Alligator mississippiensis: one gene and its partner. The main gene of each other region encodes a partner of the protein of the gene in region 2 in a complex. Links are inferred from orthologs where the notes say so. Each region holds a gene or a part of one and is shown on either strand. Other genes may lie near its edges.

Region 1 (8,172 bases), on a different chromosome or scaffold from region 2:
TAAGGACTCATGCACTTACCTTAGTCACAAGCTGCTTTTGTGTTTTTAAAGTTTCCTTCTTTTTTGTGGATTGCAGAGTCCTGTTCACATCTCCTAGAGCCTTTCTGAGAGACTTAGATGCGACTGGAGTTGCATTAATTGTTTTTCTAACATGGGGAGTCTGCACCTGTGACCTTTCAGACAGAACTTTTCCTGCTGCAGAGAAAAGTTTTAAGATTCTTTACATGCTTCGCAAATACCACTATGAGCCATTTCAGTACTTTCTGCCTAGGAAGGAGGAACTAGTTACAGTTAAAAAAGACTTCTACATAGGGATAAAGTTTTAACCTTGGAGAATTATTTCCTTGTCACTCCACTCCCACAAATAGAGTAAGGCTGCCTGTAAAAAGATAAAGCCCCCTGGAAGCCTTTGAAGGAGAAAAGGGTCTCAGAAGAACAATGAAAACAGGTTCCAACAAGAGTCTACATGTTTGCTTATATTACTCAGAATTCCCACACCTCCCATGCCAGAAATAGCAAGCCAGGCACATTCCTGGTTTATTTTAAAATGTTCAATTTTTAAAGGCAAAAGTGCACACTCACAAGTTGAAGGCAATCTTAGTCGATCCTTAGAAGTAGCACCAGCTTCTCCATTCTCCTGGTCTATGAATATAAGGGTTGCCATGTTCAGATCATGGAAACAACTTAAAAATAAGAGAAAGCTACATGAGAATATAATAATACCTCCTCCCAGTTCAAGAAATGCAACAATTGAGACCTGCATGATGAAAGTGCTAATATAGAAGTACATTGGAAGATACTCTCATGACAAAAAAAAAAAAAAAAAAAGAAAATTGCATCTACACAGTTATACCATCTTTCTGGAAAGTTGACTTGGGTCTTCTTACCTCCATATTGTTTAAGAGTACTACTCAAAAAGGTTTATATATAAATACATTGCAACTTGATGGCACCTGCCCTGAGCATGGCCCAACATAGGCCCTGCCAGGAACAGCCCAACAGCAGCATCCTGTCCCACATTGCGCAGCTCCAGGGACACACCCCCATGCCCTCCCAAGGTGCACGCAGTAGCAGGAGCTGCCACACCCTCCCCCTGGGGAAGCTGCAGCTCCATCCCATGCTTCACCCCAGGTCCCACCACTATGTGCACCCCTGGGAGGGCACGTGTCCCCAGATCTGCACATGGGGTGGGACTGGCACCAGGCTGTGCTGGGGGTGGGTGGTGGCAGCAGCAGCAGAAGGGGGCTATGGCAAGTTTTGGGGTGGCTGCAGCCCCTCCCAGCACTGCCACCACCTGACCAGAACAGTCTAGCCCAGCCCCTGCCAAGAACAGCCCAGCACAACCCTGACCCCAGCCCGTAGCAGCATCCCACCCTACCTACACAGATCCAGGGGCACATGTCCCCCTGCCCCATGCACTCTTGGGGTGCATGCAGAGATGGGAGCTGCTCCCATGTAGCTCAGTCTAGCATCCCACCCCAGCTCCTCTCCCACCCCCACCACTGGGGCCTCGATCTGCCCCTTCTCCCAGCCCATTCCCTCACAACATATTTACCAGCCAGAACTGGCTGTTCTCTTGGCCACCTATGTGCTGTGCTGCAGCTCTGTGTGTGCACGTGGCATTTTTCAGTCACACTAGGTCTAGAATATTTTAAGTACTCCTAGGGGTGTGCATAACCCCAGCTGACAGCCACTGAGCTAGGCTGCTTAGTTACACGCACTGAACTGCTAAAGTCCCTTCTGCTTTCAGTTAGGAAGTCACAAGCAATTGACTCAATTTTAGTAGAGATGCACCAATACATTGGTCCAATATTGGATTGGTACCAACATGAAGAAAATTGTCTACTGGATATCAGCCTTATGGGGCTGATATATGCCCATGCTGCATGCAGCCACAGCACGGAGCAGAGCTGGCAGTGTGGAGAGCTGCCTCCAGCTGCCAAGTCAGAAAGGGAAGTGGGAAGGAAGGGGTGTTGGGGGTGGGGGGGCCCACACAGATCAATGCCCCCTTCAGCAAGGGAGGGGGCAGGTGTGGCCCAGCCAGGGCAGGGAAGGGGACATGGGACAGAGGCACAGCTCAGAGGTGGGGGCAGCTCCTGCCATGGCTCTGCTCCCAGTCCTGGGCTGCCACCCAGCCCAACCATGGCTTTTCCCAGCACTTGGGTGGAACTGAGGCATTCAGCCAGGGCTCTGCCAGGTGGTGGCACAGGGCTGGGAGCAGAGCCACAGCAAAGTTTGGGGTGACTTCAGCTTCTTCCCAGCACTGCCGGAGCCTGCTCCAAGCCCAGGGCCCTACTGAGAAGAGTCCCATGCAGTGCCAGCTGCCACCTGCCCCATACCAGCTGCCATCTATACCACAGCAGTGGCCTGCCCCATACTGTGCAGATCTAGGGGCACACCCCTCAAGAAGTGCAAGCAGCAGCAGGAGCCACCCCCACCCCACAAGCCGTGGCTTCATCCTGCACCTCCCCCACCCCTGCCCCCACCTGCTTCCTCCCTCATCAAAGGGCTCTGATCTGCCCCTTGCACGCTCCTCTCCTTCCACCACACTGGACTTACCACCTGGAGACAGCTGTATCAGAAATCAGACTGGTATCAACCACTATACCCCCTTAAATTTCAGCCCCCAAAAACTCTATCAATGCACCCCTAAACTTTAGCAGTCCGATTTAGTCAGCAGTGAACCTCTCGCCTGGCAGCACACTAGGGCTGGGGGTCTCGGCTGTGGAAAGGTTGACAAAGCTTCCAGCCTCGCGCTGGAGCAGTGCAGGCTGCCACCCGCCTTAGGGGCTTCTGCCTGACCGCTGAGCTACCCGCTTCCCTCCCCGCCGGCACTGCAGCTCTCTCGAGTGTCGCCCCGGGACAGGCGCCGCGCTCCCAGCCCGCGGAGCCTGAGGCATGACCGGGCGTCGTGCCCTGCACTGGGGCAGCGCGTCCGCCCGAGCTTGGGCGCGGCCCCGCGGGCGACCCGACCCGACCCGACCCGACCCGACCCGACCCGACCCGACCCGACCCGACCCGACCCCAGGGCAATGCAGCGGCGGTTGAAGCCCACCCAAGATCACAAACAACCTACCCCACACACTCACTAATCTCTACACAATACAATCAGCGGGAACGCTTTTAAACATCAACCTTGCCTCCCATTGGCTGCTTCGCTCGGGCCCCAACGCTCGGACTCCCGATTGGCTGCCAGGCCGCTCCGCCAGGGGAGGGGCGTGTCGCCGCCAGCACGAAAGCGGCCATCAACCGGAAGTTGTGTGTGCGCATGCGCAGTTACGCCACCCCGCTGGGTCCTGCCGCCGACACCTCGTCAGAGACATCGGCCTGCCCCGAGTGCTGCGGGAGGAGGCTGAGGCTCCATCCCTTCGCAGGGGTCGTACGCCTTTAAAAGGCGGAGCTAGAGCCGTCGCGCGGTGCACGGTGGGAGAGGCCGAGTCCTAGTTGGGTAAACACGGCCCGGCAGGTAGGTTGCGTCGCTGCGTTGCGTGACTCGTCCCAGCCCTGGGGCCCCGGTCACGCCAGTGCCGGCCCCGCTCTCCCCCGCGCCGTAGTCCCCTCCGCTCCCCCCCCCCCCCGACCTACCGCCTCGGCGCTGTCTGTACGCGTCAGAAGGAAAAGTCCCGGGAGTTGATCTCTCCATCAGGAGATCACGAGTCCGAGTTCATTTCATTTGGAAATCGTGATTTTTTTTTTCTCATGGGAGTTGGCATTTGTGGAATCGTGCCCCCATGGAGGAGTGGGGCAGGCCGGGCCCCAAGAAATCCCCAAAATGGGGCCAGGCCTCACTACAGAGGGAGCCTCTCCCCCCAGTCCAGACCAGCCAGGCCATGGGGTAAAATTCTCTCTTGGGAATTGTAACTAGGAAGCTGGAAGGCGCTAAGCGCGGTGAATAAAGGTAAATGATAAAGGTAAAGGGCAGTGATGTAAAACAACGGGTTGAAATGGATTTTGTTCAGTTTTCATAATGCCGGAAATTGTCCTTTTCAGTACGTCTGTACGTGTTCGCAAGGGAAAAGACCATGGCATCTGGGGCTGTAATAGCCTCTACTCCTCCGGGAGGTTCGAATGATGTGGGCTTGGAAGAGCCAAAGAAGATGACAAGAGAGGACTGGAGGAAGAAGAAGGAGCTAGAAGAACAGAGAAAGCTGGGTAATGCACCAGCCGAAGTAGACGAGGAAGGAAAGTAAGTTTTACTTAAGGCTTCAATGTTACCGATGGGATGTAATTGTAATATTTCTGCTAGGGATGTTAAAAGGTAAATAATTAACTGGTAAGCCCGGTGACAACTGGTTAGCTTACTGGTTGTTTAGTGCGCCCATCTGGCAGGGAAAGGGAGGCGAGGAAGCCACGCAGTGACCCAGCAGGACCTGGAAGGCTGCAGGGGAGGGAGGAGGAGGGGAAGGTGTGAGGCGGAGAGTAGTACCCTAGCCTAGGAGGTTAAAAAGGAAAACAGCAGGCAGCTTAATGACTTATCAACTAAGCAGTGAGCTGCTCATTCACAGGTGCTGTTCCCTCCCTCCCAACCTAGGAGCTTCATTTGGGCTGTGTTATCTGGCTGGGCTTGCCACTGCATTACCCACCCAAAAGGCCCCAGGAGTGGCTCCCAGCAGCAGCTCTGTTATTGGTTAACTGTTTAACCATTATAATTAGAAGAGGTTAAAAAGATAATTTTTAAAACAATATTTACATTTCTACTCCCTGCTGATAGCCAAAGAAAATCTCAAGAAACATGCAAAATTACACTAACAGTGGCTTAGTGTAACTTATCAACTTTGTGAGTTATTCTTTAAGACCCAAATCCTCTTCCTCTTCAGCAAGGGTAGAGACTCCTTTTACACAGAATTAACATTTATTTGGTATATGGCAAGTGGAGATGCCAGTAATAAATGGAGCCATGTGGCATTTTAGTGGTGGATGGGGGGTCGGATAGAAGATTTGTTATAATGTAGATTGTTCTTTCACTTTCCTCTACTTCCATCTCCTTCACCAGATGGAGATGCTCAGTTTTTTCACTGCTGAAGGGGGGGAGTATAACTCTTTCCCTAAGATCCTATGTTGTTCATAATACCAAGTCAAGTTACTCGGTTGGAGGCTGGATTTCAGCCCAAGTAAATGGATCGAAGTAAAGAGAATTATGGTTTGTTTAATTTGGTAAGTATAGACCAGTTCAGTGTATTGAGAAGACCAATATCTACACCACCTGTTACAAAAATATTTATACTAAATACAAAAAATGCTCTTTTAAAAAAAAGATTCCTGTTCATGTTTATATTATTTGTACGTCTAAACATTTTCTTTTAAAATCTTTCTCAGAGATATCAATCCTCATATTCCTCAGTACATCTCCTCAGTGCCATGGTACATAGATCCTTCAAAACGACCTACGCTAAAGCACCAGAGACCTCAGCCAGAGAAGCAGAAGCAGTTTAGCACATCTGGAGACTGGTATAAACGAGGGGTTCAAGAGGTAAGTAAAAACCTTTTTGGTGTGTAGCAAAGGTGAGGCTTGTGGAACGCCTGTGACCAAGGGCAGAATGTGTTCTTGACAGAATTGTGGTGGTTTCTTTTAAGCCATGTTTCACCGTAGCCAGTCACTCTTCGGGTAACTTTAGTATTGGGTAAAGTTTGCTTCACTAACTATTGCACCAGCTAGGTTTCAGCTCAACCTCTGGGTCTCTCTCTAGACCAGGAGTGTCCAACCTTTTTGAATGTGGGTCCGGATCATGAACTTTTTATCACCCAGTGGGCCGGCAAGCCATATTCAAAGACATCACAGGAAGTGGTATCATATCAGGAAGTGATGTCACATGACCTTTGACACCAGTGAAGTTGCAGGGGTTGACCTGGTGCTGCAGGAGCTGCTTGGCTACAACCGGGTTGACCTGGTGCTGCAGGAGCCACGAGGCCAGGCTGGGGTTGACTTGGGGCCTGCCCAGCCTGCCAGTGCTATGCCTGGGTTGACATGGTGCTGCAGGACCCGCCTGGGCAGAACCGGGTCAGCACCAGCCAGGAAAAGCAGCATGCAGCTGAAGCCGGCTTCCCATGTGCTGCTGGGGACGGGAGGGGGCTGGCCAGGTCCGCACCGGCCAGCAGAAGCGGCGCCAGAGCCGTGTGCCGCTCGGGACTGACCGGTGTAGGCCTGTCCGATCCCGAGTGGCACACGGCTCTGCCGCCGCTTCTGGCCAGTGCAGACCCAGCCGGGCTCCTCCCGTCCCCAGCAGCACATGAGAAGCGACCCCCTCGGGGCCTCGCGCACGGGCAGCCGGGCCCGGAGAGCCACAGTGCCCAGGGGGAGACTGGCTGGGGGAGCAGGCACCGCCTTGCTGTATGGCAGGGCAGCGGGGCTGGCTTGAAGTGGGCGGGTGAGGAGGCAAGCGCAGGCTGGCAGTGTCAGCGGCCGCTGCTTAGCTTCCCACGTGGGGCAGTCTGCTCCCCTCCCCTCGCTGCTAGCTGGGGCCCGTGGGCCAGCCCTGCCTGCCTCACCATGGCTCTGCTACTGCGGCTCTGCACTCCACAGCGGCATGGCCGCCACCGCCTTGGACCAAATAAAATGGCTTGGTGGGTTTAATGGCGGCCTGTGGGCTGCATGTTGGACAAGCCTGCTCTAGACAGTCAGTATAGCTTAGCATTTATTGCCATTTGATCCTCTGTCTCGCTACAAAAACCTGTCAAGGATGTAAGTTTTTGGTGGTATAGCTGTCTTCCTTCTAGGAACTTAAATGAAACCATTAGCCTTTTTATTGGTAATTACTTTAAATAACTACAAAACAATGTGGATTCAGTTTGTATTCTGAAGAAAATTTTGGGAACTTACTCTGACATCATTGGATTCAATGGAATTTTGTCTGTCACTTCTAGTGCAGAGGTTCCTAAATATTTTCTTATTACATACCCCCCTTCCAGATTTACCAGCTGCCTACATACCCCTGGCAGTATACATTTTATATTTTAAGCCCTTAAATATTAATTATTATTATAATGAAAATTAAATCCACCACTACTTAATGTCTTCTGTATACCTCCCAGATGTGTCTTGCGTACCTCCAGGGGTATGCATACCACAGTTTGGGAACCTATGTTCTATTGCATCTTTCTTTATGGTTTCTCTACATTCATGATTAAGTAGGGAAGAAGGAGGAAAACTTCTACAAAATAGTTTGTGGTATTTGGAAATTGCTGTAAATGCTTTAGCTCATCTTGTATATACAGGTGTATGTACTTGTGCTTCATTTACTTAATTAGGCTTGTTTTCTTGATTAGGCAAAGCTAAGTACTGGCATCGTGGGTCAGTCATGCTACTTTACATTCACATAATGTTTGCTTTTTCATGTTTAGAATGCTTTAGCAACAAGATATCGCAAAGGGGCCTGTGAGAACTGTGGTGCAATGACACACAACAAGAAAGACTGCCTAGAGGTAACTTGGTGTCTGAGTTTTTCTGGAAAGCATTCCTCTCAGTTCTGTTATGATGGAAAATATCTACTGAAAGGGTATCGATTTAGATTTGTCAAACTAAAACTTAAGTTTTAACTAAAATTAAACTGATGCTTTACTTTCACTCGAATTTGTGAAATTCAGCTCTTCAACATGCTGTTTGAAGACCATTAAAAGACTAACAGACATTTCAATGTGTGGTATATCTGAGGACATTTGTAGCTCAAGCCTTGTGTGTGAAAACAGATACAGATAAGAAAATGATCACTTTACTCAAACAACTCTCATCTGCCACCTCTATGTCATTTGTTTAGTTCTTTTTGGTAACTTTTTTAATTTTAGTTCATGTTCTGCTGTATTGCTTTTTTTTTAGCTCTGGTTCTATTAAAATCAATAATAATATTTTAAAACTACTCATTAATATCCATTCATGTGACATCAGCTTGAAATCTTATTTGTTGGAGTATGTGCAGATGCGAAGACTTTAAGAGGAGGCTTGATTGTTACCTAGCTGGGGTCATATGAGCCCAGTATTCTCTCCTGCCCACAGCATGGGGTCGGACTTGAAGTTCTACTTAGGTCCCTTCCAACCCTACAACTATGAATCTGTGTTGTGTTGTTTTGTTTTGGGGTTTGTTTGGGGTTTTTTTTGGGGGGGGGCAGGGGGCTTTAAGTAAAAAGTACCTTGCATCTGAGTCTCCTTCCCAGTTTTGTAGACTACAATCCCATTTCCCT
Region 2 (7,738 bases):
GGTACGTCCACGAGCACTTGGAGCGGCACGACTTCCCTGCTGAGTGGATCCCCGCCACCTTCGCCAGAGCCGCCTTCTGGAACAACGTCATCGCCGTCGGGGCCGGTGTGGCGGCCAACCTCTTTGCCGAGTGGGCGGGGCTGGGCCCGGTGGCGCCCTTCATGGTGTCCATCCCTTTCCTTGCGCTGGTCGGCATCTTCGCCATGAAGAACTGGGAGGAGAACTACGGTAAGAAGCGGGCACTTTCCAAGACCTGCACGGACGGCCTGAAGTGCCTCCTCTCGGACCGGCGCGTCCTGCTGCTGGGCATCATCCAGGCCTTGTTCGAAAGCGTCATCTACATCTTCATCTTCCTCTGGACACCTGTGCTGGACCCCCATGGGCCTCCGCTGGGCATCGTCTTCTCCAGCTTCATGGCTGCCAGCATGGTGGGCTCGTCACTGTACCGCATCGCCACCTCCAAGCGGTACCACCTACAGCCCATGCACATCCTCTCCCTCTCCGTCCTCATGGTCTTCTTCTCCCTCTTCATGCTGACGTTCTCCACCAACCCAGGGCAGGAGAATCCCTCTGAGTCCTTCCTAGCCTTCCTGCTTATCGAGCTCTCCTGTGGGCTCTACTTCCCGGCCATGGGCTTCCTCCGCCGGAAGGTGATCCCCGAAAAGGACCAAGCGGGTGTCCTGAACTGGTTCCGGGTGCCCTTGAACCTGCTGGCCTGCCTGGGCATGCTCATCCTGCACGACAGTGACTACAAGACGGGCACCCGGAACATGTTCACCATCTGCTCCGTCATGATGGTCATGGCACTGCTGGCTGTCGTCAGCCTTTTCACCGTGGTGCGGAACAACGCTGAGCTGCAGGTGCCGCCTTTGCAGGGACACACAGAGCCGTCATCCCCAGAGCTCTGAGCAGGGGTTGCAGCCACCTGGCATGACAGAACAACCCTTGCCAGCTAGCATGGTCCCAGAGGGCAGTGGGATGCCTGTGATCCTCCTGTAGAGGGCAGGGCTCTGTAGGATACTGGGCTGCTGAGGAGAAATGAGCTCTGAGGCCTGGGCTGCAGCATTGGACTCATGTATTCTGACTCTTTTGGGGAACTTGCTGTCCTGACGTGGTGCGGCACCCCTGGGTTCTCCTCTTGCCCCCAGTGCTCCCAATTCTCTCCTTCCCCTCCTCTACCTCTTTTCTCAAGCTGCCAATGTCAGTGGTGCTGGGGAAGGGCCTGCCTGTGGCAGGCAACACACTGGTGGCAGGGCCCAGCCACCTGGTTCCCAGCATTTGCCGGCAGGGGGATTGTCTGTGTATTAAAGTATTGACCCCCTGTCACTGCAGAAGCCAAGGGTCCCCCTCCACTCTGGTTATTATTTTTTAAGAAAAATAAAACTGCTTCCACAGAATGGTTTTTGAGCCCGCGAGGTTTCTTTCTGGGCTCGGGCTGTGGACGGGTCAGGATCCAAGCAAGAAAGAACCAGCCCCACGTTGCTGCGTCTGCAGAGCGTGGGGAGGCAAAGGTGGCAGAGGCTGAGCGGTTCTTGCAGGACACCTTGCAGTGCTGCCCTGGCTTCTCCCCATGCTCAGAGGAGCTGTGGTGCTGGAGGCCATCCCAGGGTGATTGGGCATGCAACTGCTGGAGGGGGCAGGGGCAGGCAGCCCAGTATGGACTGGGGAACCTGGTGTACTCGCAACCTCATGTACGTCTCCTAGAGGCAGGGGCTGTTGGAGAGGCTGAGGCCTGGGACCACCCAGCAGGTCATTGCCCAGAAGTGTGTCTGGTCTCACCCTCCTCCCCCATCCTCTTCCCAGGTTTTCTCCTTCCCTCTTTCCCACTCTTTTCCTTCTGTTTTCCTGGGGAAGCACTGGCTGCCAATCCCTGTCCTGGGTCCTCTCCAGCTGCAGGGGGTGCGTGGGAGTGCTTTCACCAGCTCACAGCTCAGGGGCCTTCCCTGCTCCTCAGTAGGCAGCTGCTGCTGTTGTCCTTGCACGCGCCGCGCTACAATGTGGACTCCATCCAGTTTGCTGCAGCTCAGCAACTCCTTTACTCTTAGGTTAAACCTTGGACTCATGGACCTGGCACATGCCCAGGGCTTCTGTTTGTGGCTGCCTTGGTCTGCTCAGGCTCTACCTCCCCTGGGTCTGGACTCCCAGTCCATTCACAGCCCCCTGGCCTGGACCTTGGCTCCTGCTATGGCAGCTGCAACTGCCTTCATACCAAGCCTCCAGCACAGGATGGTGGTTGTTGGCTGTCAGCTGGAGAGGGCCTCCCCAGGCTTCCAGCCTCCTCCCCAGTACCTCCAACTCAGTTGTCCTTGCTGACAAAATGCTGCCATGTCCCTGCCCCGGTCCTGCTTCCCCCAACCCCCAGATACGTCTCATTAGGGTTAAGCCAACACAGGAGACATTTTGGTGCTTGATCTATATAGTAGCGGCAGTGGGGAAACTCAGAGGGCTTCAAGCATCGAGGTAGTTTTAACAGGAGCCTTAATGGGGCCATGCAATGTCTTATCTGGCCATAAATGTTTAAAATAGGAGAAGCTAGAGCCTTGGTGGGCTCGTCTCCCAGCTCTTTCCCCCGCTTCTGCCTGCACTCCCTGACTGGAAGGGCAAGTTTGACTTCTTGTGCTCCTCTACCTCCCACTCATCTGAGGAGGGAGTTGACAGCTGCAGGGGCTAAGCTGTTGGAGGGTGGCATGTGGCTCAGCCCATCTCTGTCAGTCCCACTGGGTGGAACCGTTTGCAGGATAAAGGCCTGTACAGAAGTGCTGGGACCCTGCTCTGGGAGTGAACCGGCCAGAACCTCCTGCGAGAGGTCTGGAACTGTGCTGATCTTACACCATTCAAGAGCTCAGGAGCTAGGTGTCCAATAAAGTGGTGGGGTTAATTGTTTCCATAATAAACTGAGGCAGTTGTTCTCTTCCGTCGCCTTCTCGGTGTCTTGAGATTTAGGGTCAGGCTCCAGTCCTGACTCCAGGCTTCTGTGTTCGTTTGTAGGTGACGGAAATGTCTGTGTGGATACAGGATCGCTCCGATTCTCCCCACGACAGTTGGAGGAATAAACATTGGGTGTCCCAGGACTCGGGATGCAGCTGTGAAGCCACACAGCACTGGGATCTGACAGCTGTGCACTAACAAGCCCCTCAGCCATGCTGCTAGCACAGGGGTGGCCAGCCTGCAGCTCCAGAGCCACATGTCGTTCTTCAGAAGTCAATATGCGTCTCCTTGAATCTTTGCACAAGCACATGGCGACCAGCTTCAGGAGATGCATATTAACTCAGGAGCTTGTGAAGTTTTAATAAAGACTCGAGCAGTCCCAGATTCCAGGCGACGCCGAGCCCCGAGCCTTCAACAAGTCATCGGGTGCATGCCGAAAAGCAGAGGATCAACTGAAAACTAACCTAGGGTGTGTGCCCTCTCGCAGGGTCAGGCTGGGATCCTGGTTCCTAGATTTTCTGCCTGCAGTGAGTTGGAAATCTTTGCAATAAAAAGAGGTTCCCCTTGATAAAGTGAAGCTGAGAGCAGGTGCTTAGTGGAGGGGGATCAAGTGCTGCGATTGAATCGTGCCGGCAGCCAGGGCCGGGTTCACCAGGACAGACATTTTGCCTGTCCTGGTGCCAAAGGCCTCGAGCACAGGCACGGACTTGACGGGGGTGAACAAAACCAGCCTGGAAATGCCCAAATGCCCGGTGAGGTTTTTTCCCCATTCCCATCTTTTCCCTTGGTGTCAGGCATCCTGTTCCTACGGTTTTGCCCCGATGAAGCCAGACTGAGGGCGAGCAAGGGGGGCCAAGGAGCAGACAAAACAGCCCCCGCAGCCGAGAGCTGGGCCCTTGAAACCACCTGGACAAGAGCAAAGAGGGAGTGAGCAGAAGGGCCCCTGGGGCCCACCCAGGTTGCTCCCCTACATGGTCTGTGCCACACGGCTTGCACACGCACCCAGCTGGGCACGGTTTAGTTTGCTTGGAGCCCTGAGAGGGTTTCGCGTGTGTTGCACAGGCATGCACGCATGCACACACGCCTATTGTTATGCTGGGGGGGGGGGGCAGGCATGTTGGGGATGGCTCAGTGCAAACCGAGCTTTGCACACTCAGGCTTAGACACGCAGGTGCCTTGAGCATGGCCCAGTTTGCACAACACATGCCCTGCTTTGCGCACAGGCTTGCACACGCAGGGGGCTGAGGCACACAGCGCTTTCCACATGCGGGGGGAAAAGGGGCATGCCAGGCATTGCACACATGGGGGCTGGGGGCACACCTAGCATTGCACACATGGGGGCTGGGGGCACACCGAGCACTGCACACATGATTTGCACACACGGGGGCTGGGGGCACACGCGGGTTTGCACGCGCTCTCCCACCCCATCGCTGCCTCTCGCGCCGCCCGAAAACAACGCCTGCTGGGCCCGGGCGGAGCTGCGCGTGCGCAGTTCTCCCCGCGGCTGTGGCGGCAGGACTACAGCGCCCGGCATGCAGCGCGGCGGCGGGAGGGGCGGGGCGGAGGAGGCGCGCGCTGATTGGATGCGGCCCGGATTTGAACGGGGCGCGGGGCCGGGCTGCGGCTAGCGGCGTGTTTGAGCAGCGGTGAGTGTGGGGCAGGGGGCGCGGGCCTAGGGTCAAAGGGCATGGGCCTGAGGGGTTAGGGGCCAATGTCAATGGGCCCGAGGTGTTGCGGGGCCTGGGCGTCCGGGTTCAGGGGGGCTGTGATTAGGGGGTCGGGGAGTATGGGCCTGGAGGTCAGGGGTCAGAGCGCCTGGGGGCTTGTGGGGGCCGGGGTCAAAGGGCAGGGGGCTGGGGGAGTGTGGGGGGCAATGGGGGGTGGGGGTTTAGGGGCCGTGGGCAGCGTCCCCAGGGGCCCTGCTCCTGCGGCGAGTCCTGGGAGGAGGGACCGACCGCGGCTGCATCCCTGACTCCGGTTTGCCCCAGGCCGCGGGCAGCATGAAGCGCCTGAAAGGAGCAGACTTCATGGCGCAGGCCGGCAGCCGGGAGGAGGCCGAGGCGCTGCTGGCGGAGCTGAAGGTGAGGCTGCCCCTGACGTCCCTTCTGCAGGTCGCGGGTCTACCCAGCCCTCCTGCCATCTTGCCCCCTGTGTGGGCACCGGGAACCAGGGCTGTTCTGCAGTCGAGGGCTGTGGGGAGAGCGAGGGGCTCCCCTAGCTCTTCCCTTGCACGTCTTGGGTGACCCTACGGCAGCGGGAGCTGCACAAGTGTTACCCCAGGAAGGGGCTCTGGAGCCTCCGACACGTGGGGGTGGAGAGGCGTGTCCTTGCTCTAACGATCTCGCTTCCTTCCAGGAATGCCTGGCCTGTGCCCCAGAAGACCTAGCCAGCTCGAGCCAGCCCTCCTGGCAGGGCGTTGTGTGCGACAAGGTCCTGCGCGCTTGCATCCACTGGCTGGGGCTCTCGCAGGGCTGCGTGGCGCACTTCCAAAGCCTCCTGGACTTAGCGGAGCTGGCGTGCCAGGGCTACATCGTGGCTTGCCCCCCGCGCACTCCCCTCTACCTTGAGAAGATCCTCTACCACCTGCTGAAGAGCGTGGCTGCCTCGGGCACCTACAGCGCCTGCCTGAGGTTCGCAGGGATCCTTCGCACCCAGCTTGGGCAGTGCCAGCGTCTGGCAGTACCCAATGAAGATTTTGAGGCCATTGCCAAGAGCAGCTTTAGTGTGCTGTGGAAGGGGGCAGACGCCCTTGCCAAGTCTGACCAGGGTCTTGGGGATGCCAGGGTGGTGCTCTCAGGGCGCCTGCAGGCCACGTGCTTCCTGGCACTCTTGGAAGAGGCCGAGTCCCCCTTGCTGCCCCAGGAGCCGCCCTTCTTCACCTCCCAGACGGTGCGCCAGGCTGCGGTGGCCGCTCTAATGTTTGAGGCTCAGAGGACCCCGCTGAGCCCAGAGGATGCCCGCTACCTCAGCGAACAGCTTGCTTGCCACCCGCTCGCAGTCCTGCTGGAGGCCAGGGGTGGGATGGAGCCCTGGCCCCTCCAGTCCTCCCTGTGCCTGTTGGAGCTCACGTTGGAGCGCTGCCGTCGCCTCTGCAGGGGCAGCTGCTTCCAAGAAGCCGAGGATGCCCTGAAGCAAGCTCGGGTCCACCTGAGTGTATCCAGGGGTGCCAAGGAGGGATTTGTTGCTGCACTGGACCTGCTGCGTATTGGAATAGAGCTGAGCCGGGTGCTGGCAGTGGGTCAGGGCCAGACAGGGCCCCTTCTGTCCCAGGCTGCTATGGCTCTGGATACTGCCTCTGAAGCCCAGGACCCCTTGCTCCGGGCACTGGTGGAAAGTTGCCAGTTCATGGTCTCCTCCCTCAGTGGATACGTGAGGAGGAGCGAGCATAGGCCCTTTGGGCTGGAAGATGCCCTGGGTGCCTCAGCCTTCGTGAAGGGCTATTTTCAGCTCCTGCGGCGGTTGCTGGAGAGTGTGAGTGCAGCCTCTAGGGTAGAGCCTGGCCCAAGGCAACAGGACTCTGCTGGCTGGGCTGGGGGCAGTGTCTGGGAATGACTGAGGTTTTGGGGTACAAGAGCATCTCCTGGCATCCAGCTGGGCCTTGCCCCCTGCTGGGCTGGCACAGCAGCATGTAGGCACTGCACGAGGGAACGTGCTGCTGATCGCAGGGGCATTACCTGTGGCAGGGGGAGTGGAGGCATCTCTGCTGGATCCAGGGTTCTGCTGATAAGGGCAGGGGTGAAAAAGAAGGCAGCACAAGTTGGGGAGGGGGGGAGGGGGTCCCTGTAACCCACCTATCACCCCTGTGCTGTAGATCAGACAGGACGCCCCTTTGGCATGGCTTCTGTAGCTGCCAGCCCCTAGTCTGGCCTTGGCTGTGACAGTACTTGGCATGTTCCTTTTTCCCTCGGCAGATGCCTCCTGACAGCCCGAAGCAGCAGCAGACGGTGAAACAACTGCAGTCCCACTGCCTCCAGCTCTATGCCGGCCTGGCATACGATGCCTTTCAGGGCTCCCAGGTACTGGTGGGAGAGGGAGCTCTCCTGGGAACCAGTCATCTCCGTTGCTAATCCAGAGCTATGGGAATCCTGGGCAGCCCTGAACACCCAGGATTCTGGCTGGATGGGTCATGGTGCTTGTCAGCCAGCTTGGGCATACACTGCTCCTGGGTTCACACCCAGACCCAGGGAGCCAGCTTGGGTACCAGGCAGATCAGGTCCTGTTTCTGGATCAGCCATGTAGTCCTGGGAATGGAGCTATGTGCTCCACAGTGGGCTGGGGGCTTGAGGGTCACTGTAACCCCGTTTGCCTCCACTCTGTCTGCTCATTTTATTCATTGTGCCTCCCGCAGGCAGCTGGCCTGGAGAAGCTGGCGGGGCCATGCCGAGACGTCATCACCCGGATGCTACAGCTGTTCGAGGGGCTCCCTGAGCCGGAGCAGGCAGAGTACCTCGATGTGACGGGTCAGTCCTGCCATTGCTGGTCTCATTTGTGTGGCTTTTCTCACATCCAACTACATGCTGCCTGACCTCTCATAGTCCCTCCAGCTCTTCCCATTCTTGTTTTCTAGCCAGTAACAGGGTCCAGAGAGCAGACGGCAAGATGAGATCCTCACAAATGCCCCTGGGTGGGATGGGACTAGTATTGCTCTCCATAGGAGCAAGCAGCATCTATGCCTTGCCTCTTGCAGGCCAGAGGACAAGGGGATTTTTGAGAGGGGCCTTGGGGAAGAGGGGTGGGACTGTGGCCCTTAAGTGAGGGGAATGCCCTTTTCTGCCTCCAGCTCTAGAGGTGGCAGCTCCTCCCTGCAGCA

The links.
Region 1: the proteins of ESPL1 (region 2) and PTTG1 are in contact, whole or in part, in a cryo-EM structure (PDB 7NJ1), measured with the Homo sapiens proteins. The link is inferred for Alligator mississippiensis from reciprocal best matches to the Homo sapiens genes ESPL1 and PTTG1. Residues at the interface, in NP_036423.4 of Homo sapiens: His402, Thr405, Val406, Tyr409, Ser461, Asn462, Tyr465, Tyr468, Arg505, Arg508, Glu512, Glu544, Thr547, Phe548, Arg551, Gln590, Lys593, Ala594, Val595, Arg596, Thr599, Gly600, Arg603, Gln634, Cys637, Tyr638, Trp683, Ile686, Glu690, Ile697; in NP_001269311.1 of Homo sapiens: Tyr111, Pro112, Glu113, Ile114, Glu115, Lys116, Phe117, Phe118, Pro119, Phe120, Asn121, Pro122, Leu123, Phe125, Glu126, Ser127, Phe128, Asp129, Leu130, Pro131, Glu132, Glu133, His134, Gln135, Ile136, Ala137, His138, Leu139, Pro140, Leu141.

Annotation. Positions count from the first base shown.
Region 1 is NC_081832.1:59,020,877-59,029,048, forward strand, and holds the start of PTTG1 (securin), read right to left. Parts: upstream 3,223-8,172; 5' UTR 3,141-3,222; exon of another isoform or gene 3,077-3,140; intron 2,819-3,076; exon of another isoform or gene 2,560-2,818; intron 684-2,559; 5' UTR 665-683; coding exon 583-664; intron 196-582; coding exon 20-195; intron 1-19. Other genes in the region: pre-mRNA-splicing factor SLU7, read left to right, coding at 4,023-4,186, 5,317-5,470, 7,339-7,419. UniProt on the Homo sapiens protein: Regulatory protein, which plays a central role in chromosome stability, in the p53/TP53 pathway, and DNA repair. Probably acts by blocking the action of key proteins.
Region 2 is NC_081838.1:9,202,182-9,209,919, reverse strand, and holds the start of ESPL1 (separin), read left to right. Parts: upstream 1-4,518; 5' UTR 4,519-4,574; intron 4,575-4,916; 5' UTR 4,917-4,928; coding exon 4,929-5,009; intron 5,010-5,283; coding exon 5,284-6,399; intron 6,400-6,839; coding exon 6,840-6,944; intron 6,945-7,276; coding exon 7,277-7,388; intron 7,389-7,738. Other genes in the region: MFSD5 (molybdate-anion transporter), read left to right, coding at 1-908. UniProt on the Homo sapiens protein: Caspase-like protease, which plays a central role in the chromosome segregation by cleaving the SCC1/RAD21 subunit of the cohesin complex at the onset of anaphase. During most of the cell cycle, it is inactivated by different mechanisms.